Linked DNA regions of Saccharomyces cerevisiae S288C. The gene in region 2 interacts genetically with the main gene of each other region. Each region holds a gene or a part of one and is shown on either strand. Other genes may lie near its edges. The genes, in order: BUR2, MOT2, CCR4 and RKR1.

Region 1 (3,723 bases), on a different chromosome or scaffold from region 2:
TGAAGCAATCTTCAACTATAGTGAATGTTCTTTTTCATACCAGTTTGCATGGAGTTTGGCCTGCTTACAATCTGAAGAGAAAATTTCATTTCCTAGAGACACGATAATTGGGCACGGTTTACCTTACAAGCCATCCAAATTGATAAGAATTTTCGTCTACAAGCATCCGGAACAAAAGCAAGATCTTGGTCAAGAAATAGCATTGCCCAACTGGAATACCCCTTATCTTCGAAGATGAAAAAAAAATTTATCAATTAGTCTATAATATATGTGTATATACGTCTATGCACCTACCTACTTATAAATGGATATAATATTCTTGCAATGATGAAAATATGTATAGTCAAATTTCATTTTTTTCAATTGATAAATGTACTTTCAATGATGGAAACTCCTTCATCGTCATCGAATTTAGACTTCTGGCAGAATTGGTAAATGAATGGCTTCATGTTTGCCAGATTTTCAGCAATAGACCTAATGAAAGCGGGCAGCTCACTCATTATATCGTACCTATTGACTAATCTTAAATTAGATTCTTCAAAACCACGCGGAAATGAAATGGATGTAGGATATTTCCAACCATTTTGCTTATCCTCTTTTGTAGATGGAAATTTAACAGCATGATCATTTACACTTGACCCGACCTCCAAAATTTTGTCCTTATCACTAACCGCCCATATAGTCACTGTAGTGCTGCCATATTCTTTTGTTGTGGTGAATTCAATACACATCATCGAACGCTTCTCACCATTGAAACAAAGAAAATTCCATTTACTAGCCGCCTTATTGGGTATTAGCCCCTGGACAGCATCCAGATACAACATAGGCGTGTCCTTCAAGTCCAGCTTCACAGGTTTATCGTTTTTCTTGTATGAGATGGTACCATTGCAAAAACCTCTAGGAACAAAAACATGTCTTATCATTTTTCTGGACGTACTAGAAGAGTCTCTTTTTGCTAACTCTTCCAAGCTGATGCTCTTGTCAAGGTAATAATTGGAACCGTCCGGGTTTATTATGAATCCTTCTTGTAAATTTACGGTAATGTCAACCTTCAAATCTTTTAGTAAACAGCTTGTACTTCCCTTCGGAATATCTATCTTAATTAATAATTGAGCAAATCCACTGGAGGAAGAATTTTCCAAAGGTACGAAGTGAAACGTAACATTGTCCGATTCAACTTTTAACGTATCAAAATCTTTGATATTATCAATTTTAAAGCTTTCCCATATATCAATGTCTTCTTCAGAGTTTTCCTCACTGCTGGCTTTAAATATTTTGAAATTTAACTGAAAACCTTTGTATATACCGCCCATAACACTGGAATATAATAGTTGAATTAATCCACATTTGCCGTTGGTGAGATCCGTAAAATACAGAGTTTGTGTCTCTATTCTTGTTTCCGTTGGATTTCTTACTGCTTTTAATAAACTATGTGACTTGAACTTTTTGTGATTTGACGTCCTGCAAAACCATTCTAGTTTCGATGTATCCTGAAATTTAGTATAATTAGCATGATCCTTCTCGGATAAAACTTCCTTAACGGGGGCAAATTTCGTCTTCTCCTTTTTGATCGCAACCGCCATTTTTTCTTTGCTCTATGATTTTTATGTTAATTAAACTGTTCGTTGCCCTAAAATTTTGAAAATTTCTCGAATATTTAGAGAGAATCCGTCACTATTTTAGTATCTATCTTGTCTATTTATATATAAAATCTCATTCCCCTGTTATGGTTTTTGCCAAGCCCTATCCCAAAAAACCAAATGATACATGATAAACCTATTTATCCTCTTTAACAGACCTATCGTTTAAAGCTTTTTTATTGCAAACCCTATTCATTATGGCTTTTTGACCTAGGTCTCATTGTGACTTCTATTTTTCACTGTTCAGTAAAAAAAGAAAAGTGATTAAAAAGTATCACTATTTCTGTTAGAAAGCAAGTAGCTATTTTGATTGGTAATTATATACACATATTGAAGGAGGCCGTAGTATTTTCGTTTAAAATATATTACAGTAAGATAATGTCTGCTACATCTTCAAGTGGTGACGTGAAAAAATTTCAAGCTGTACCAAAACCAACGAGCAATGCATCACCACCACCAGCATCGAGTGGGTTTAACGCAAGGACCCTATGGCCGGATTTGATAGAAACACCAGAAAACCAGTGGGTTTTTGAGTGCAAAGATATTATTGAAAAGATAGGCACTAATGGACCGATAGCAGTGGAAATAAAAAAAAATATGGAAAAATGCTTAATGTACTTTTACACACTTAAAAAAAAATTAAATCTTTTTGATCACACCTATACGGCATCATGCATTCTATTTTACAGGTATTGGTTCATATATGGAATACCTACAGCCATAACTGAATGTATTCATATATCACAGGGAATTCTGGTCACCGCTTGCAAAACAATGGAGAATAATAGGCCTATAGAGGCCTATATTAAGGCGACTTGTGAGTTTTTGATGCAAAATATACCGTCTTTAAAAAGTCGAACAAATATTGATAAACTTAAATGGGAATTTAGAGATAAGTTAGTGACGAATGAAAAAAAAATACTATGTTTATTTGGCTTTGACTTAAATATCAGTAATCCAAAAGAATTGATTGAAGAAGTGTTCAGTGGCTATTATAGATTCAACAGGGATCACAATCTGCCAGAAAACTTTAAAAAAGCTTTTCCAAAAATTCTTCAAGAATCAAGAAATTTTATGGTCCAAGCTGTCACCCAGCCAGTTTCTTTATTGTGCGACGGTTATACGTTCATTGTACTATCTCTCATATACTGTGGTTTAGAGTATAAAAAGCTTGTAGACAAAGATTTCAGATATCCGAAAAACTTCTTCAAGGATAGATTCCCTATCGAAGTAACGCCGGAAAATTTTGCCAATATCTTTACCGATTACAAGTTACTGGAAGAGAATTTTTTCAACTTAAAAAGTAATAAAGGTGCTAAATTACAAATTGATTCAAGCATGATTGATTCGGTGATTGACGAAAGTGGCGATGTGGAAAATGAAGTTTCAGAAATCTCTGATCCGTTTAACTACGAGTTGATTAAATCCGGTGAGGTGAAGGAAGAGTTTTTGAATCATATTGAAACAAGGGTTAAAGATTTACTAGATAAGGCTAAACAAGAAAGTATGAAGAGAAAGGCTAAAGATCCTATAAGAACCCCAGATGCCAAAAAACCTAAAATATAAAAATAGAGTACAAGTTATGTTTAATTGGAGGGATCAGTAAAGGTTTGATATATACGTGACAAAATGTCCGGCAAGTTCCCTATGTTATCCTGATAGCAATATTTCCAATACTCAATCCAATGATCATCTGTTTCTGGATCTTTAGGTGAGTCAAAGCGCAGTTTCTGCTTCAATTTTGTTTTCATCTTGTCTATTATTATTCTGGGATGTCTGAATTGGTAAGTTCGGGGATGATAATCGTCCAGAGATTCTGAACAGTCATTATCTTCGGATATTTTTTCAGCAACAAGTAATTTCCCCTCCATAGCAGTCAACAGTACCTTAGGTAGTTGGTAGTCAGTTACTTCATCAGGATTGTCACAAGCATCAATAATATTTTCGATGATACATAAGCATTCTATGGTCAATTTATCCATTTCAGATGATGCTTCGAATGTGTATTCATTATCTTGCATATAGTATAGTTTTAATACATAAAAAAACTGGATAACTTTAAATTGAACACCTGATGAAAGTA
Region 2 (3,972 bases):
TCACCCTTAATCTGAAATATGTAATGATGACGGTGCAGTATGTTGACTACATTGTAAAGTTGCACTTTCACTCAACTCATGAAATTGATGACATTAATCCTACGTGACTTACACATATGCCATGAACGAAGAAGGTGGCACCAAAAATCCAGCGTTTCCGATATACACGCAGTCAAATGTTCAGACTAAACTTTGGTATTCTGACAACGTGTTGTCATACCTGTTACGAGCCAGAAACGTATTTCTTTTTGGGTGATACAATCTCCAGATGACTGCTTTTTTTTTTTTTACCCCAGATTCAGGGGCCGAAGGAACGGAAATGCGGTGTGGCGAGATTGCGGATGTGCTAAAAAATAATATCCTCGAGGCAACCAGCATAATGTGGACGGCTCTCGGCAATTGACTTCCATAACAAATGCATCCTGTAATCAGGGGTATTATAAGTTACTGTATGGTTAATTAAATATAGAATGAAAGGGGCAGCGTTCTTAAGGGGTATTGCTGGGTGGAAAAATACAAGTGTCTTTACTTGATTGTGTGCACATATATAAGGCAAAAGATTTCTAGCGTATATTTGAATCTTTTGTTCTTCCACGTTCAAATTTCTTTGGTCAAAACATTTCATAAAGGGACAAGTTCTGCATTGTATTCTAATAATTGCCCATAGAACATATAAATTAGGTATCGACTGTTTTCGTCTCCACTTTAAATGACAAAGAAGGATAAGAAGGAAGTAAAAGTTCAAACGGTTACCACGGAGGATGGTGAAACCGTGAAAGTTTTTGAAGACCTGCAGGGTTTTGAAACTTTCATTGCCAATGAAACTGAAGATGATGATTTCGATCATTTGCACTGTAAATTAAATTACTACCCACCATTTGTGCTACACGAGTCGCACGAGGACCCTGAAAAAATTAGTGATGCTGCAAATTCTCATTCTAAGAAGTTCGTGCGTCACCTGCACCAGCATATTGAAAAGCATCTTTTGAAAGATATTAAGCAAGCCGTTAGGAAACCTGAGCTTAAATTTCACGAAAAATCGAAGGAAGAGACATTTGATAAAATCACCTGGCATTACGGTGAGGAAACTGAATACCATGGTAGACCTTTCAAGATAGACGTTCAAGTAGTTTGCACACATGAAGATGCTATGGTATTTGTCGATTACAAAACACATCCTGTAGGCGCAAATTAAAGGTTGTGTCATAGAGAATGTGTTAGTACTGAATCCTAACCTCCCAAATTCATAAGTAGTTTTATGTACCTTTAATGATTTACGATTAGCAACTTTTTGAATTTTTTTTATTGAAATGTTGAGCCCGAAGACGTGAAACGCTATAAAGTAGTATCACTGTTACGCCGCGAAACCTGATAATGTATTGTTAAACTACTACCTGGTCGATGATTATATCGACGCTTCTAAAATGAATGCTATTACCCGAACTTCCACTTGATTGCCGTCTCTTCCCGGGTAACATTGTAAGTGTGAATATGATTTTTTTTTTTGCTTTCTCTTTTCAAAATTTCCGAAAAGCATATCAAGACGTGTACTACATACAGTAAAAGCCCTCCTAGGGTTTTCAGTAGTGGTTCGAATAGTATAGATTACTGCTTTTGTTACTCTGCAACAATCCCAAAACTTAATAAAAAGTACAAAAGACCAAATAAAAGTATCGTATATAATCCAGTCATAATGATGAATCCACACGTTCAAGAAAATTTGCAAGCAATCCACAACGCCTTAAGCAATTTTGATACGTCATTTTTATCGGAGGATGAAGAAGATTATTGCCCTCTTTGTATTGAACCAATGGATATTACTGATAAAAATTTTTTTCCTTGTCCCTGTGGTTATCAAATTTGTCAATTTTGCTACAATAATATCAGACAAAATCCAGAATTAAATGGCCGTTGCCCAGCATGTCGTCGTAAATATGATGACGAGAACGTCAGATACGTCACATTATCTCCGGAGGAGTTAAAAATGGAGAGAGCCAAGCTCGCTAGGAAGGAGAAAGAAAGAAAGCATAGAGAAAAAGAACGTAAAGAGAATGAATATACGAATAGGAAACATTTATCTGGTACCAGAGTTATCCAAAAGAATTTAGTGTACGTTGTTGGCATCAATCCTCCTGTTCCATACGAGGAAGTTGCGCCCACTCTGAAATCTGAAAAATATTTTGGCCAATATGGTAAGATAAATAAGATTGTGGTTAATAGAAAAACACCCCATTCTAACAACACAACCAGCGAGCATTATCACCATCATTCACCAGGATATGGCGTTTACATAACCTTCGGATCCAAGGACGATGCTGCAAGATGTATAGCTCAGGTAGACGGGACGTATATGGATGGCCGCCTGATCAAAGCTGCCTACGGTACTACTAAATACTGTTCTTCTTATTTAAGAGGATTGCCATGCCCAAATCCCAACTGTATGTTTTTGCATGAACCTGGTGAAGAAGCTGATTCTTTTAATAAAAGAGAACTCCACAATAAACAACAAGCGCAACAGCAAAGTGGCGGAACTGCATTCACTAGATCTGGAATACACAACAATATATCTACCAGTACCGCTGGTTCAAATACCAATTTACTAAGTGAAAATTTCACAGGCACACCTTCACCGGCGGCGATGAGGGCTCAGTTACATCATGACAGCCATACAAACGCTGGAACACCGGTATTAACACCTGCTCCGGTCCCTGCAGGGTCAAATCCTTGGGGAGTTACTCAATCAGCAACACCTGTAACCTCTATCAATCTCTCTAAAAACAGCAGCTCCATAAACTTGCCAACATTAAATGATTCTCTGGGCCATCATACTACCCCCACAACAGAGAATACCATCACAAGTACGACAACTACTACCAATACCAATGCTACAAGTCACTCCCATGGTAGCAAGAAGAAGCAATCTCTTGCTGCAGAGGAATACAAAGATCCTTATGACGCACTAGGGAATGCTGTTGACTTTTTGGATGCAAGACTACATTCTCTATCAAATTATCAGAAGCGCCCTATATCTATCAAATCCAATATTATTGACGAAGAAACTTATAAAAAGTATCCGTCTTTGTTTTCTTGGGACAAGATTGAGGCCTCAAAGAAAAGTGACAATACATTAGCCAACAAACTTGTGGAGATCCTGGCTATAAAGCCAATAGACTACACTGCTTCTGTCGTTCAATTCTTGCAGAGTGTCAATGTTGGTGTAAATGACAATATTACAATCACAGATAATACGAAAACTCCCACCCAACCAATAAGACTGCAAACCGTCTCACAGCAAATCCAACCACCATTAAACGTCAGTACCCCTCCACCGGGTATCTTTGGTCCACAACATAAGGTTCCTATTCAGCAGCAACAAATGGGTGATACAAGCTCAAGAAATTCCTCTGATTTACTAAATCAACTAATCAACGGAAGGAAAATTATCGCCGGTAATTAATCCGACTCTAAATATTTTTCTTGTTTGCATTAACCATAATTTTATCTATTTTTATTTCTCATGAATATATAATCTCTCCGTTTATAACGAAATGCAAGAAAAAAAAATCTCACCCATTTTTTTAAACCTTTGACGTGGAAAGGTATCTGGGAAAGGTATCTGGCTAATGAATAATGCCATAGCATATACCAGTATAGTCTATTTACTCGTTACAACGTATGAAAGCGTCAGCGCTGCAAGAATGACTAATTCATAGAAAATAATCATCATGATATATATCATAATGCACGGAACCTGCTTCGCTAATTTTTTCACTTAAATCACATTTTTTCAACGAAATCTCTTGCGCAGTTGGTTGGAATTCTTATCCGAATGACTCAGTCTACATCAAAAAACTGTGGCCGAATGGTGGTAATTGATGACTCTTCTATTTTTTTTTTTCATATAAAGAGCTTGCGCGCGTGTTGTTGTTCGCTATCCATTTCCATTAGGAACATTTTTGGATATTATTTTTC
Region 3 (4,606 bases), on a different chromosome or scaffold from region 2:
TTGTTCTCTGATTCATGTTCTTCTCCAGAGCGTGATATCTCCTCTGAATGCGTATCGGCCAGTGCAGGCTCTGGCACCGCAAGGATTGGCTTCTTGATGGTATCAGTGTCCGCACTAGTACTCATTTTTGCAATCTGGTATGCTTTCTTGCGTTTGATGATAAGCTGTCGCCGTAACGTAAATCATTCATCCTTTCCTATGATTTTTTAAGTCAATTTTTTTTTCTTTTTCGGGAAATTAATTCTGTTTTTGGCATTAATAACAACAAGAAGAATTAAGGATTCGTTATAGAATACAAGATTCTTGGTTTGGTTAAATAATTTTGGCTCTCTTAAATATTATAAAAAGATACTTAAGTAAGAAAGAAACAGGACGAAAAAGATACGCAAAAGAGAGAGAGAGAGAGAGAGAAAAAAAAGATGAGAAAAAAAAGTATAACGTGAAGGCTTTATGGGAAGTGCGGTGAGATTGGGATCGTTTCAATTTTATAATGAGGTAGTGTACAGAGAGGAGGGAGGGAGTGGGATGAAAGTGTGCGGTTTATACTTTCTTACTGCCTGTGTTTGTCTTCATAAATTCAAATCTTGCTAACAATGGTATATGGTCACTGGGGAATTTGTCGTTGGGGAACCCGATAAACTTACTCACGTATTCAGGGTCCACTTCACCCAATAGCCCACGCACCCTTAGAGCATGTGTAGAAAACCATATATAGTCGATAACATCTGTGAATGACGGTGTGAAATTGGTGAATGGTAGTTCTCCGATACAATTATAACTTGATTTGAGAGCCAAGTTATGTGAGAAATTTTTCTCCGACATGTAACCGAAATCTCTACCATTTCCCTCTTGATGTATTTGGACACGGCCTGTATTTATCAATTCGTATACGGCGGAGTTGATGTATGAATTGAAGTCACCACAAATGAGCACAGGAAATTTCTTAATGTCCTGTCTAAAATTGTGCGATGTCTCCTCCTTTAGCAGCGTTTCCAGATGATCTAACAGGACACCTACTTGGAATGTCTTGACATCATTAAATTTTGGATCCCAGTGCAAATGCGTGGTGACCGCCCATATGGTGTCGCCACTAGGAATGTGTTGTAGCTTTAAGAACAGTGCAACGTTGTCTTTGTTCATTGCACGGTTTAAATAATCTTCAGTTCTTTGGAACTTCTTGTGTTTCATCCAAGCACCGCTGAAATCCATGGCGTCTTTGGTGATCAACTTGAATTGGTCCCTTTTGAAAAAAATGCAACACCCGTCCACTTTCTTGGAGTCCTTGGAATGCATGGTCTTGGCTCTTGCCTTTGCATGGAAGATGCCTGTATAACCGTGCTTGTCCAATAGGGGCACCCAATACTCTTCAAAAGTCTTAGACTCCACTTCTTGTAAACACAACAGATCACTGTCGTACGAGAGAATCTGCTCCTTTAATTTATTGCGCCTGTAATCCCAACTTAACGCCCACGACGGTGTGTAACGGTACATTTTTGGGGTGGCATAGTGTTGACATAAGGTGTTGTAGGATAAGACGGTGAACGTCCTCTTGGCTAAATCGGTGGCCAGATGCTCAGTGGATTGCTGCAAAGAATCGTACTCCCTCTGTGGTTCCCCATCGGTATTGATTTCGATGAACCTACGTTCATGCGGTAAGGGAATCTCTGGTCTGTTGTCCCTTAGGTAGAAAATCAATCCCGTGACAGATTTTTCTGTAAGGATCTTTAAAAACTGTTTTTCTAAGGGGTTTCCTTCTACACCAAGAAACTGAAGGTTACACAGGTTCCCAAACTCCCATGGTAATGTGGTGACCATGTTATCAAAAAAGTAGAAGTATTTCAATTGGAAACATGAGCCTAGTTCCGCTGGTAGAGATGTTAACCTATTATGCGACAGGTCCAAAACGCGTAGGTTGCTTAGGTTCTTGATCTCCGCTGGCAGTTCCGTGAGGCTATTGCCATTCAAATATAGTCTCGTTAGAAAATCGTACTTGAAGATGTTGGCGCTGATATTGAAGATTTGCAAGTTGGACAAATCTAGCGCGTGCCATAATTGGTCGTCGTATTTCGAGTCCTTGGGCATGACCATTCTGTTTTCAATGTCGTCATCTTCGTCGATGCTGTACTGAGACAGTTTCTTGTGTTGTAAGAGCGCCTGGTTGGCTTCGTCCTTGCCATTAGCAAACAGCTCTATCTTGGGAGTCAATGGTGTAGAAACTGCACTGTTAGTTGCCGTGCCTGAGGGAGTGCTATCTCCCGTAGGTTGTTGTTTCTTTGCTGTCTTGCTGTCGGTGAGAGTGTCGGCCATTTCCATCAAGGCTTGCTTTGTGCAGTCTACCAGTGATTTGGAGGCTTCTGCAATGTGAGATTGCTGGAAATCGGTGGGCTGCAAAGCTGGTGGTGCAGCCTGAGGTCCGGGGCCAAATGGGCCCGGGACCTGCTGCTGTGCCTGTTGCTGCGCTTGTTGCTGAGCTTGCTGAGCCTGTTGTGTAGCCAAATACTTCTTCATAGCGTTTTGTCTAGCATAAATGTTGGGTTGCCCCAGAGATTGTGCGGACACTGCAGCCAGATGCAATTGAAGCTTCCAGATCGGATTGTTTAGTAAAGAAGGGTCATCCAAGTGCGGGTGTAATAAAGGGTTACTGGCGTTCACATTGATGTTCACAGGCGTACCAACGGTAGGAACCATCCCTATAGAATTTACTGCGGCTGTGGAGGCATTCATCATCACCCCGCTTCCACCGCCGTTGTTGTTGTTGTTGTTGTTGTTGTTATTGTTGTTATTGTTGTTATCCATGTTCATATTGAGCATGTTCGCGTTCCCATTAGCCAATTGGTCGAGCAACTGGCGCGAGTTGTTGTTGCTGGAAGTGTGTACATCGCTGTTGTTCATGAGTCCCGGTGGAGGTATCCCGGTGAGCTGGTTCATGTGTAGCTGCTGCTGTAGAGCGTTTGGTGTACCCTTTCCTAGTAGCCCGGCATGCTGCTGTTGCTGCTGTTGCTGTTGCTGCTGCGGGCCCACATTAGGGTAGCCTAGTAAAGAAGGGTCGTTCATTAGCGGTAGTTTGCAGGGATAACGTCAGTCGGAGTTCCCTTGCTGGTGTCCCTTATGCTGTGCCCTTGTGCTTGAGAACCTTCTCTAAGGTGGAAACTTTTTCAAATTTTTTCGTTGTTGGCCCGTTTTTCGCAAGTACGGGCGATAACAAAAGGCCTAAACGGCTACTTTACCTTTGAGATCTACCACGATGAGAATTAATGCTGAATGGACATCTATGTATATGATAGTGGGTATATAGTTACTTATCAGTGCTAGAGCACGATCCACGTGGTGGCACATCCGCCAAACACGCGAGGTTTTCCAGAGTATTGGCCCACGAGCTGCAGTCCAGGCTGGGAGCCCTTTTGCGGGCCGCAGTTGCCATGCTCTCCCCAGCCCCAGCAGTATACATTGTAACAGTGAGACTTGCCTTCTTGATTAGCAGTAGTTAGAATACCGTGCTCACTCCCGGTTGCAACACCGACAATAGGGAAGTCTAGGCGCTCTTGCGGGAAGAGTTGGGAATGTGTGCCCCTACCAAACGACTCTACCGTATTGAGGCGCGCATTCCACAGGTGGATCGAGGTCCACATGCACAGTACCACTAGATTGTGTCTTTTTTGCTGTTGTTTGAGCTCGAACCCAGTGGGCAGGCGACCGGATGCGTGCACTATGCGGCCGCCCTCGTCCACTATGACCATGAAGTCCTTGCCCATGGCCACGTAGTCTACGGCCACAGACCCGGTATCGTACACCAATACGGGCTCTTTCAGTGATCGGGATTTGGGCTCTTGCAATTGACACTTTGTGTTGCTGCCCCAGCCGTATACTCGGGTGCCTTGCACCACCACAAAGTTCTGGAAACATCCGTATACTGCGATGCGCTCATCGTTGGAATTCAATGGCACATGTTGCTGAGTGAACTCGTAGCAACCGCCTCCTCTCTGCCATACACGGCCATCAGCATCCACAATAACTGTCGTGTCCCAGCCGCACGCCACATCCACCACGGGTGCCGGTACTTCCACGGGCCTCCAGTCATGCACCTGCCGCAGTGCTTGCGCACTATCCAGTTCTCCCCGTCTGTTATCTCCACATCCTACCAGATTCCCGTCATTTGTCAGCATCACGCTGTGGTTCCCACCGCACGCTATCTTCCTGACTATTGCTCCATCATCTCCTGGCACAGACCTCTGTGGGGTATCCATATCCTCATCGTGCCCCAGTCCCAGTTGCCTTTGCCCATTAGACCCAAACGCATACACACAACTCATCGATACAAGCCTGTTATAGCCTTTAATGATCACATTCCATCACTTGCGCTTTGGATCTGCCTGCATTATCAAGGCTCAAACGGCTGCGTTACCCCCGTCGCCGCGAAATTTTTCATAATTTTTCACTTTGTAGGATTAAAAGAGATCATGAGCCCATCTCGCAATGCAACACGTAACTTAAATCAGTACTGGCGTGTGCTATAGTGCTCTATATTCGAGTTTGTTGCTACTGGTGGACACCCGACTATCTACAGTAAGGAACGTAAACAAGAAAAAGAGAGAAAATACGCTATAGT
Region 4 (7,201 bases), on a different chromosome or scaffold from region 2:
TAGCACGTCGTCGAATCCTAAGACCTTGTTTGAAAAGAATCGTCCAAAATGGGAGAACTGGCGCCAATGAATAAACCAGACGAAGGTATCACGAACATGTGCCAAAGCTTGTACCGGTACCAAATTATGCGAATGTCAGTCAGTAACAATGTCAGACCCTACTATCAACCCAGATGTAGCTCAAGTGGAACCTACTGTTCTCTCAAGCTTTTTAATAGAAACGCTCATAGAATATCATAGAGAGTTCAATAATAGCGGTATCATAGTTTATCTGATAACGTGCAAACTGTCCTGATCATGAAGCGGAGTTGAATGACAGGGTGATGGAATTGATGGCTAGTTGCTTTCGTATGCCTCGGTATAGGCATGCTAATGACACCCTAGGGTGGCTATTAGTATGTTGCAATGCCGAGAGGAGGTTGAATAACAATACCATTACATCAGCCGATAATATAGTGCATTGTATCAGCAAAATTAAGCAGTCAATTTATTTTTTTATCATTTAATGGCGATGGTTGGATAATTGTCTAAGAACAGTATTGAGTATTGCAATAAACCACTAAGGTTAGCCTCACGGCCAAACTATGTTGGTATCACTGTTACTAACAAGGTGGTTGTGTACGTGAAGGCAGATTGGCCTCAGAAGGCTCTTACCATTAAATAACAAGGCCATTATTCCACTCAATAGCTTGGCACTTGCACATTTGTGTGCCATTTACACTGAATGATTCATCTTTTTGATATCATGCAATATAATAATACAGGTGATAGAATGCGAAAAGCACGGGAAATAGGTGACTTTTGAGATAGTTGTTGAATACCATTTCCATAACAATACAATTTGGACAACATTATCTTATACCGAATATACCTTAAGTTTTACTCGAAAATATAGGAATCCATAAAAGGATCGATGATTCTTCATAATAATATTATGGTTTCTCGTTCCACTTTATATGTTGTCACTCATTATCCTATTGCATTATCAAGTCGTGCGTTCCACCCCCATTAAATTTGATGGCAGCTTTTAAATCTTTACCTTTATGCCATATTTCTACGTCGTATATGTAATAAGATGGATGCTAGACTATAGGGGGTAGGTGGTTCCTCTTCCGACATGTAGAGAATGTGGATTTTGATGTAATTGTTGGGATTCCATTGTGATTAAGGCTATAATATTAGGTATGTAGATATACTAGAAGTTCTCCTCGAGGATTTAGGAATCCATAAAAGGGAATCTGCAATTCTACACAATTCTATAAATATTATTATCATCGTTTTATATGTTAATATTCATTGATCCTATTACATTATCAATCCTTGCGTTTCAGCTTCCACTAATTTAGATGACTATTTCTCATCATTTGCGTCATCTTCTAACACCGTATATGATAATATACTAGTAACGTAAATACTAGTTAGTAGATGATAGTTGATTTTTATTCCAACACGACAATCATGAGTAATTACTTGATAGTGGATAGTAAGTTTTGATAGACACTTCCATTTTAAACTGATTTCACTTTTTACAGTGGCTAGAAATTACAATAAGAAATGGGCGTGTGGCGTAGTCGGTAGCGCGCTCCCTTAGCATGGGAGAGGTCTCCGGTTCGATTCCGGACTCGTCCAAATTTTTTGCTACTTTGCAATTAGTGTAACTTCATATTTAAAATTATAGTTAATCAAGAACAGAATATCGTCACAATGCTCTTTAAATGTTACGTACTTCTTACCTCCAGCTTGACTATATACTTGTCAATTCGAGTTAACCCAGATTATGCCCCAACATGGAAAACTGAAAAATATTGATGAAGCGAGGAAAAAAAACGTCATAGGAAAAATTCAAATGTTGCAACTTCAGATGGTTTTCTTCAATATATACAATACTGAAGAAGTCCTTCTTAATAGTTCAAATCTGCTAAGCCATCAAAAAAAGTTCAAGCAATAGTTGGTTCTTAATGTCGTTTGGTGGAATCAATACATTTCAACAGTATAACACAGATTTAGGGCTCGGCCATAATGGTGTTAGAATATCCTTAAACTACTTTGATGGTTTGCCGGATCCAAGTCTTTTAAACTCCTTGTACTCGAACGAGCTGAAACTCATTTTCAAATCTCTTCTGAAAAGAGATGAAACTACAAAAGAAAAAGCTTTAATGGATCTTTCCAATTTGATCAGCGACTTTAACCAGAATGAGTACTTTTTCAATGACATTTTTCTTCTTTGTTGGTCGCAGATATATGCTAAACTGATAATTAGTGATTACAAGGTCATCAGACTGCAATCACATCAAATTACTATAATGCTTGTCAAAAGCCTTCGGAAGAAAATATCGAAGTTTTTAAAGGATTTTATACCTTTGATACTTCTCGGTACATGCGAACTCGATTATAGTGTTTCCAAACCTTCTCTTAATGAATTAACAGAGTGTTTCAACAAAGACCCAGCAAAAATTAACGCCTTATGGGCTGTTTTTCAAGAACAACTATTGAATTTAGTAAAGGAGATTGTTGTAAACGAGAATGAAGATACCATTTCTGATGAACGTTACTCCAGTAAAGAAGAATCTGAGTTTAGATACCACAGAGTTATAGCAAGTGCCGTATTGCTGCTGATTAAGCTTTTTGTTCATAACAAAGACGTCTCAGAACGTAATTCTTCCAGTCTTAAGGTGATTCTTTCTGATGAGTCAATCTGGAAACTACTTAACTTAAAAAATGGGCAAAATACAAATGCCTACGAAACAGTTCTTCGATTGATTGATGTTCTTTATACAAGAGGTTACATGCCTTCCCACAAAAATATAATGAAGTTAGCGGTGAAAAAACTATTGAAATCGTTGACTCATATTACGTCAAAGAATATTCTAAAAGTATGCCCTGTTCTCCCATCAATACTGAACCTTTTAGCTACCTTGGATGACTATGAAGATGGGACAATATGGTCATACGATAAATCTTCTAAAGAAAAAGTACTCAAATTTTTATCGGTTTCCCGTACTTCACCATCGCCAGGATTTTTCAATGCTGTGTTTGCATTGTACAGCTCGACTAAAAGACACAGTTTTCTTGATTATTATCTTGAATGGCTTCCATTTTGGCAAAAATCGGTGCAAAGACTGAATGAAAAGGGCTTTTCTGCGAGAAACAGCGCTGAGGTTCTTAATGAGTTTTGGACAAATTTTTTGAAGTTCGCTGAGGATTCATCAGAAGAAAGAGTGAAAAAAATGGTGGAAAGTGAGATTTTTAACTCTCTGTCTTGCGGGAAATCTTTATCTGAGTACACAAAACTGAACCAGACTCTTAGTGGCGTCTTTCCACCCGATAAATGGGAGAGAGAGATTGAAGATTACTTCACTTCAGACGAAGACATAAGAAAAATAAAGGTGAGCTTTGAGAAGAATCTTTTTGCTTTATTGGTTACTTCTCCTAATAACGAATCCGCAATTAGTCGTTTATTCGATTTTTTTGTGCAATTAATCGAAACAGATCCCTCAAATGTTTTCAACAAATACGACGGTGTATATGATGCTCTCAATTACTTTTTAGATTCAGATATGATTTTCTTGAATGGGAAGATAGGGAAATTTATAAACGAAATTCCAACGTTGGTCCAAGAATCAACATATCAAAACTTTGCTGGTATCATGGCACAGTACTCAAACTCCAAATTTTTCAAAATGAATACTGACGCGATTACTTCGTTGGAAGACTTTTTTATCGTTGCGCTTTCTTTTAACTTACCAAAGACAATAATTTTAGCCACAATGAATGAGTTGGACAATGATATTTATCAACAATTAATGAAATCAGATTCCCTAGAATTAGAATTGTACATTGAAGACTTTATGAAAAATTATAAGTTTGACGACAGTGGGGAAATATTTAAAGGTAATAATAAATTTTTAAATCAAAGGACTATCACCACACTTTACCGAAGCGCAGTTGCCAATGGCCAAGTTGAACAATTTTGTGCTGTTTTGTCTAAATTAGATGAAACTTTTTTTTCAACGTTATTGCTGAATACCGATTTTCTTTCTTGTGCATTGTATGAAGTTTCAGAAGACACTAATGAGAAACTATTCAAGTTGTCATTACAGTTGGCTAAAGGGAATTCTGAAATCGCTAATAAGTTGGCCCAAGTGATTTTGCAACATGCTCAGGTTTATTTCAGCCCCGGGGCAAAAGAAAAATATGTCACACACGCCGTGGAGCTAATTAATGGCTGCAACGATACTTCTCAGATTTTTTTTCCCGCTAACGCAATCGAAGTTTTTGCCAGATATATGCCAGCAATTGATTATAGGTCATCCTTAGTGAGCAGCTTAAGTACTAACACGCATTTGCTCCTTACAGATGATAAGCCTATCAATTTAAAAAATATGCAAAAGCTCATCAGGTATGCTCTATTCTTAGATGCCCTACTTGATGCTCTTCCAGAGCGCGTTAATAACCATATTGTTGCATTTATAACTGTAGTTTCTGAGCTCGTCACTGATTATAATTGCCTTTCAGAGGAACCAAATGATCTTTACTATGATTTTGGGCATACCTTTTTCAAACATGGCAAAGTAAATTTGAACTTTTCTGATATTGTTGGAAACGTTATTCAGCCTGCTAATGGTGGTGATGCTATGCTTACTTTTGATATTGCTGAAAGTAATTCTGTCTACTTTTTTTATTATTCAAGAGTATTATATAAGGTTCTATTGAACAGCATTGATACTGTTTCATCCACCACATTAAATGGGCTATTAGCATCGGTTGAAAGTTTTGTCACGAAAACTGTGAGGGATCAAAAATCTACTGATAAAGATTATCTCCTATGTGCTATATTACTATTGATGTTTAACAGGTCCAACTCAAAAGATGAGATAACGAAATTAAGGACATTGCTGGCATCTCAATTGATTGGGATTAGAGAAGTAGAACTTGTCGATCAAGAATTCAAGTCGTTAGCTCTTTTAAATAATCTGCTGGATATCCCACAGGCAGATAAACAGTTTGTTCCTATAGCACCGCAGAGACTGAACATGATATTCCGTTCAATACTAAAATGGTTGGATAGTGATCTTGCCTACGAGCCTAGCTTTAGCACCGTTAGATTGTTACTACTAGATTTTTTCACCAAACTGATGAGGTTTGAAGGAGTCAGAGATATGGGCATAACAGCTTTTGAACTTTCGGAAAGGTTGCTGGCAGACTCTCTATCGATGTGTCAAATTGATGACACTTTATATTTGTTAGAACTTCGCTCTTCCTGTTTGAACTTATATGAAACATTGTCGCAAGGCGTTTCCAAAAATGGCGAGGAAATCTCAGAATATGGTGATGAAATTCAAGAAAATTTGATTGAACTGATGTTTCTCAACTTTAATCAAGAAAGAAATAACCAAGTATCCACACTCTTCTACCAGAAATTGTACAAGGTCATTTCCTCAATGGAACTCAAAAAGTTAGAATCTCAATACAAAAGAATATTCGAGGTTGTATTGAATGATAAGGATATCGGTAGTAATATTAATCAATCAAGATTATTAACTACTTTGTTGGGTTCTTTGGTGGTAAAAACACAGCAGGATATTATAATTGAGTATGAACTGAGGATTCAAAAACAAACTGGCTCAGACGTAGATGGTAGTGCATCTGATAATGATGTAAACTCAAAATTTAAACTACCTCAAAAATTATTACAAAAAGTTACTGATGAGGTGCCAAAAGAATACCTTGAATACGAGAATAAAAATTCATTTATTAAATATCTATGGTATTGGCACTTGATACTGATGTACTTCAAAGATACGTCTTATAATATGAGACAAATATTTATTGAACAATTAAAGGAAGCTGGTTTAATCAATAGAATGTTTGATTTCATAACAGATCAAATAGATTTAAGAGATACTGAGTTTTGGAAACAGGTCGACACCAAGGAAATTTCGGAATACAACATTGTCGGCAATAATTTCTCTCCTTATAAAGAAGACATATTTGAAGAATGTAAAAAACTTTTGGGCCATACACTTTATCAGTTGTTTAACAACGTCGGTTGTCTAACGAGTATTTGGTGGTTAAATATAAAAGATAGGACATTACAAAATGATATTGAAAAGTTTGTCTCAGAGTTCATCTCCCCAATTTTGATCAAAAATGAATTTGACGATATCAATTCTAAGATGGACCGCCTGACTTCTAATGATGATGCTTTGACTATTAAATTAAATAATATTACTAATGAAGTGAAGGCAAGCTATTTGATTGACGACCAAAAGTTGGAGATTTCCTTCAAACTACCAAAAAACTACCCTTTAACAAATATCCAAGTTAATGGCGTCTCTAGAGTTGGTATAAGTGAACAAAAATGGAAACAATGGATAATGTCTACACAACATGTAATTACAGGCATGAATGGATCCGTTTTGGATTCGTTGGAGTTGTTTACTAAAAATGTGCACTTACAATTTTCTGGTTTCGAGGAATGTGCCATATGTTACTCTATACTACATGCCGTGGATAGGAAACTACCTTCGAAGACATGTCCGACTTGTAAAAATAAGTTCCACGGAGCATGTCTTTACAAGTGGTTTCGATCATCGGGTAACAATACATGTCCATTATGCCGTAGTGAAATTCCATTTAGAAGGTAGACTATCGCATATAAATTTCATATAAATGTACTACATTTTTTAAACAAAGTTCCTTTTATTATTGTGCTCTCTTACAAATTATACAATCCAGCCCTATACCTTGCCAATCCAGCCCATCACCCGGATATTCTGGAAATTTTTTCTCTTCAGGATTTTTTCAGGATAAAAATCGAACTTGAAAGAAGAATGGTTTTTAGTTCAGGCCTTGTTTTCAGTTTTTAGCTACTAAAAGAGGGATAACCATTGATGAAATTCTATTGAATGTCCCCAATTTTCGGAAAAGGACTGCACCGAAATATTTCAATCAAAATCATTTATCGTTTTGTTTAGCTATTTTTTTCTCAAATTATCACTCTTTTCTTCCTTTTTCATTCTCTCAATTGTTCTTTTTATTTGAGGAAATTTGATTGTATTGCATATACAACTATGCGATGCACTTTGTTCATTTTAACTTTGGATATATGTGCCTTGCTATGAACGCGTTCATTTTTAAGTGACCGGACCCTAAAATATTCAGGTAGCATGACGGAAGCTATGAATTAATCCTGGTGGAG

Evidence for each region.
Region 1: mutations in MOT2 (region 2) and BUR2 are lethal when combined (synthetic lethality), as found in Saccharomyces cerevisiae (3 studies listed by BioGRID, with this or other methods).
Region 3: mutations in MOT2 (region 2) and CCR4 are lethal when combined (synthetic lethality), as found in Saccharomyces cerevisiae (3 studies listed by BioGRID).
Region 4: of MOT2 (region 2) and RKR1, changing one enhances a phenotype caused by changing the other (phenotypic enhancement), as found in Saccharomyces cerevisiae (3 studies listed by BioGRID, with this or other methods).

What each region holds. Positions count from the first base shown.
Region 1 is NC_001144.5:587,336-591,058, forward strand, and holds BUR2 (Bur2p), read left to right. Parts: upstream 1-2,018; coding exon 2,019-3,206; downstream 3,207-3,723. Other genes in the region: UCC1 (Ucc1p), read left to right, coding at 1-238; YLR225C (uncharacterized protein), read right to left, coding at 360-1,583; ADY4 (Ady4p), read right to left, coding at 3,227-3,723. UniProt on the Saccharomyces cerevisiae protein: Component of the BUR kinase complex involved in transcription regulation.
Region 2 is NC_001137.3:291,357-295,328, forward strand, and holds MOT2 (CCR4-NOT core ubiquitin-protein ligase subunit MOT2), read left to right. Parts: upstream 1-1,693; coding exon 1,694-3,457; downstream 3,458-3,972. Other genes in the region: RGI1 (Rgi1p), read left to right, coding at 710-1,195. UniProt on the Saccharomyces cerevisiae protein: E3 ubiquitin-protein ligase component of the CCR4-NOT core complex, which in the nucleus seems to be a general transcription factor, and in the cytoplasm the major mRNA deadenylase involved in mRNA turnover.
Region 3 is NC_001133.9:110,306-114,911, forward strand, and holds CCR4 (CCR4-NOT core exoribonuclease subunit CCR4), read right to left. Parts: upstream 3,055-4,606; coding exon 541-3,054; downstream 1-540. Other genes in the region: nucleoside transmembrane transporter FUN26, read right to left, coding at 1-125; ATS1 (Ats1p), read right to left, coding at 3,309-4,310. UniProt on the Saccharomyces cerevisiae protein: Acts as a catalytic component of the CCR4-NOT core complex, which in the nucleus seems to be a general transcription factor, and in the cytoplasm the major mRNA deadenylase involved in mRNA turnover.
Region 4 is NC_001145.3:762,797-769,997, reverse strand, and holds RKR1 (ubiquitin-protein ligase RKR1), read left to right. Parts: upstream 1-1,958; coding exon 1,959-6,647; downstream 6,648-7,201. Other genes in the region: YMR247W-A (uncharacterized protein), read right to left, coding at 572-715. UniProt on the Saccharomyces cerevisiae protein: E3 ubiquitin-protein ligase component of the ribosome quality control complex (RQC), a ribosome-associated complex that mediates ubiquitination and extraction of incompletely synthesized nascent chains for proteasomal degradation.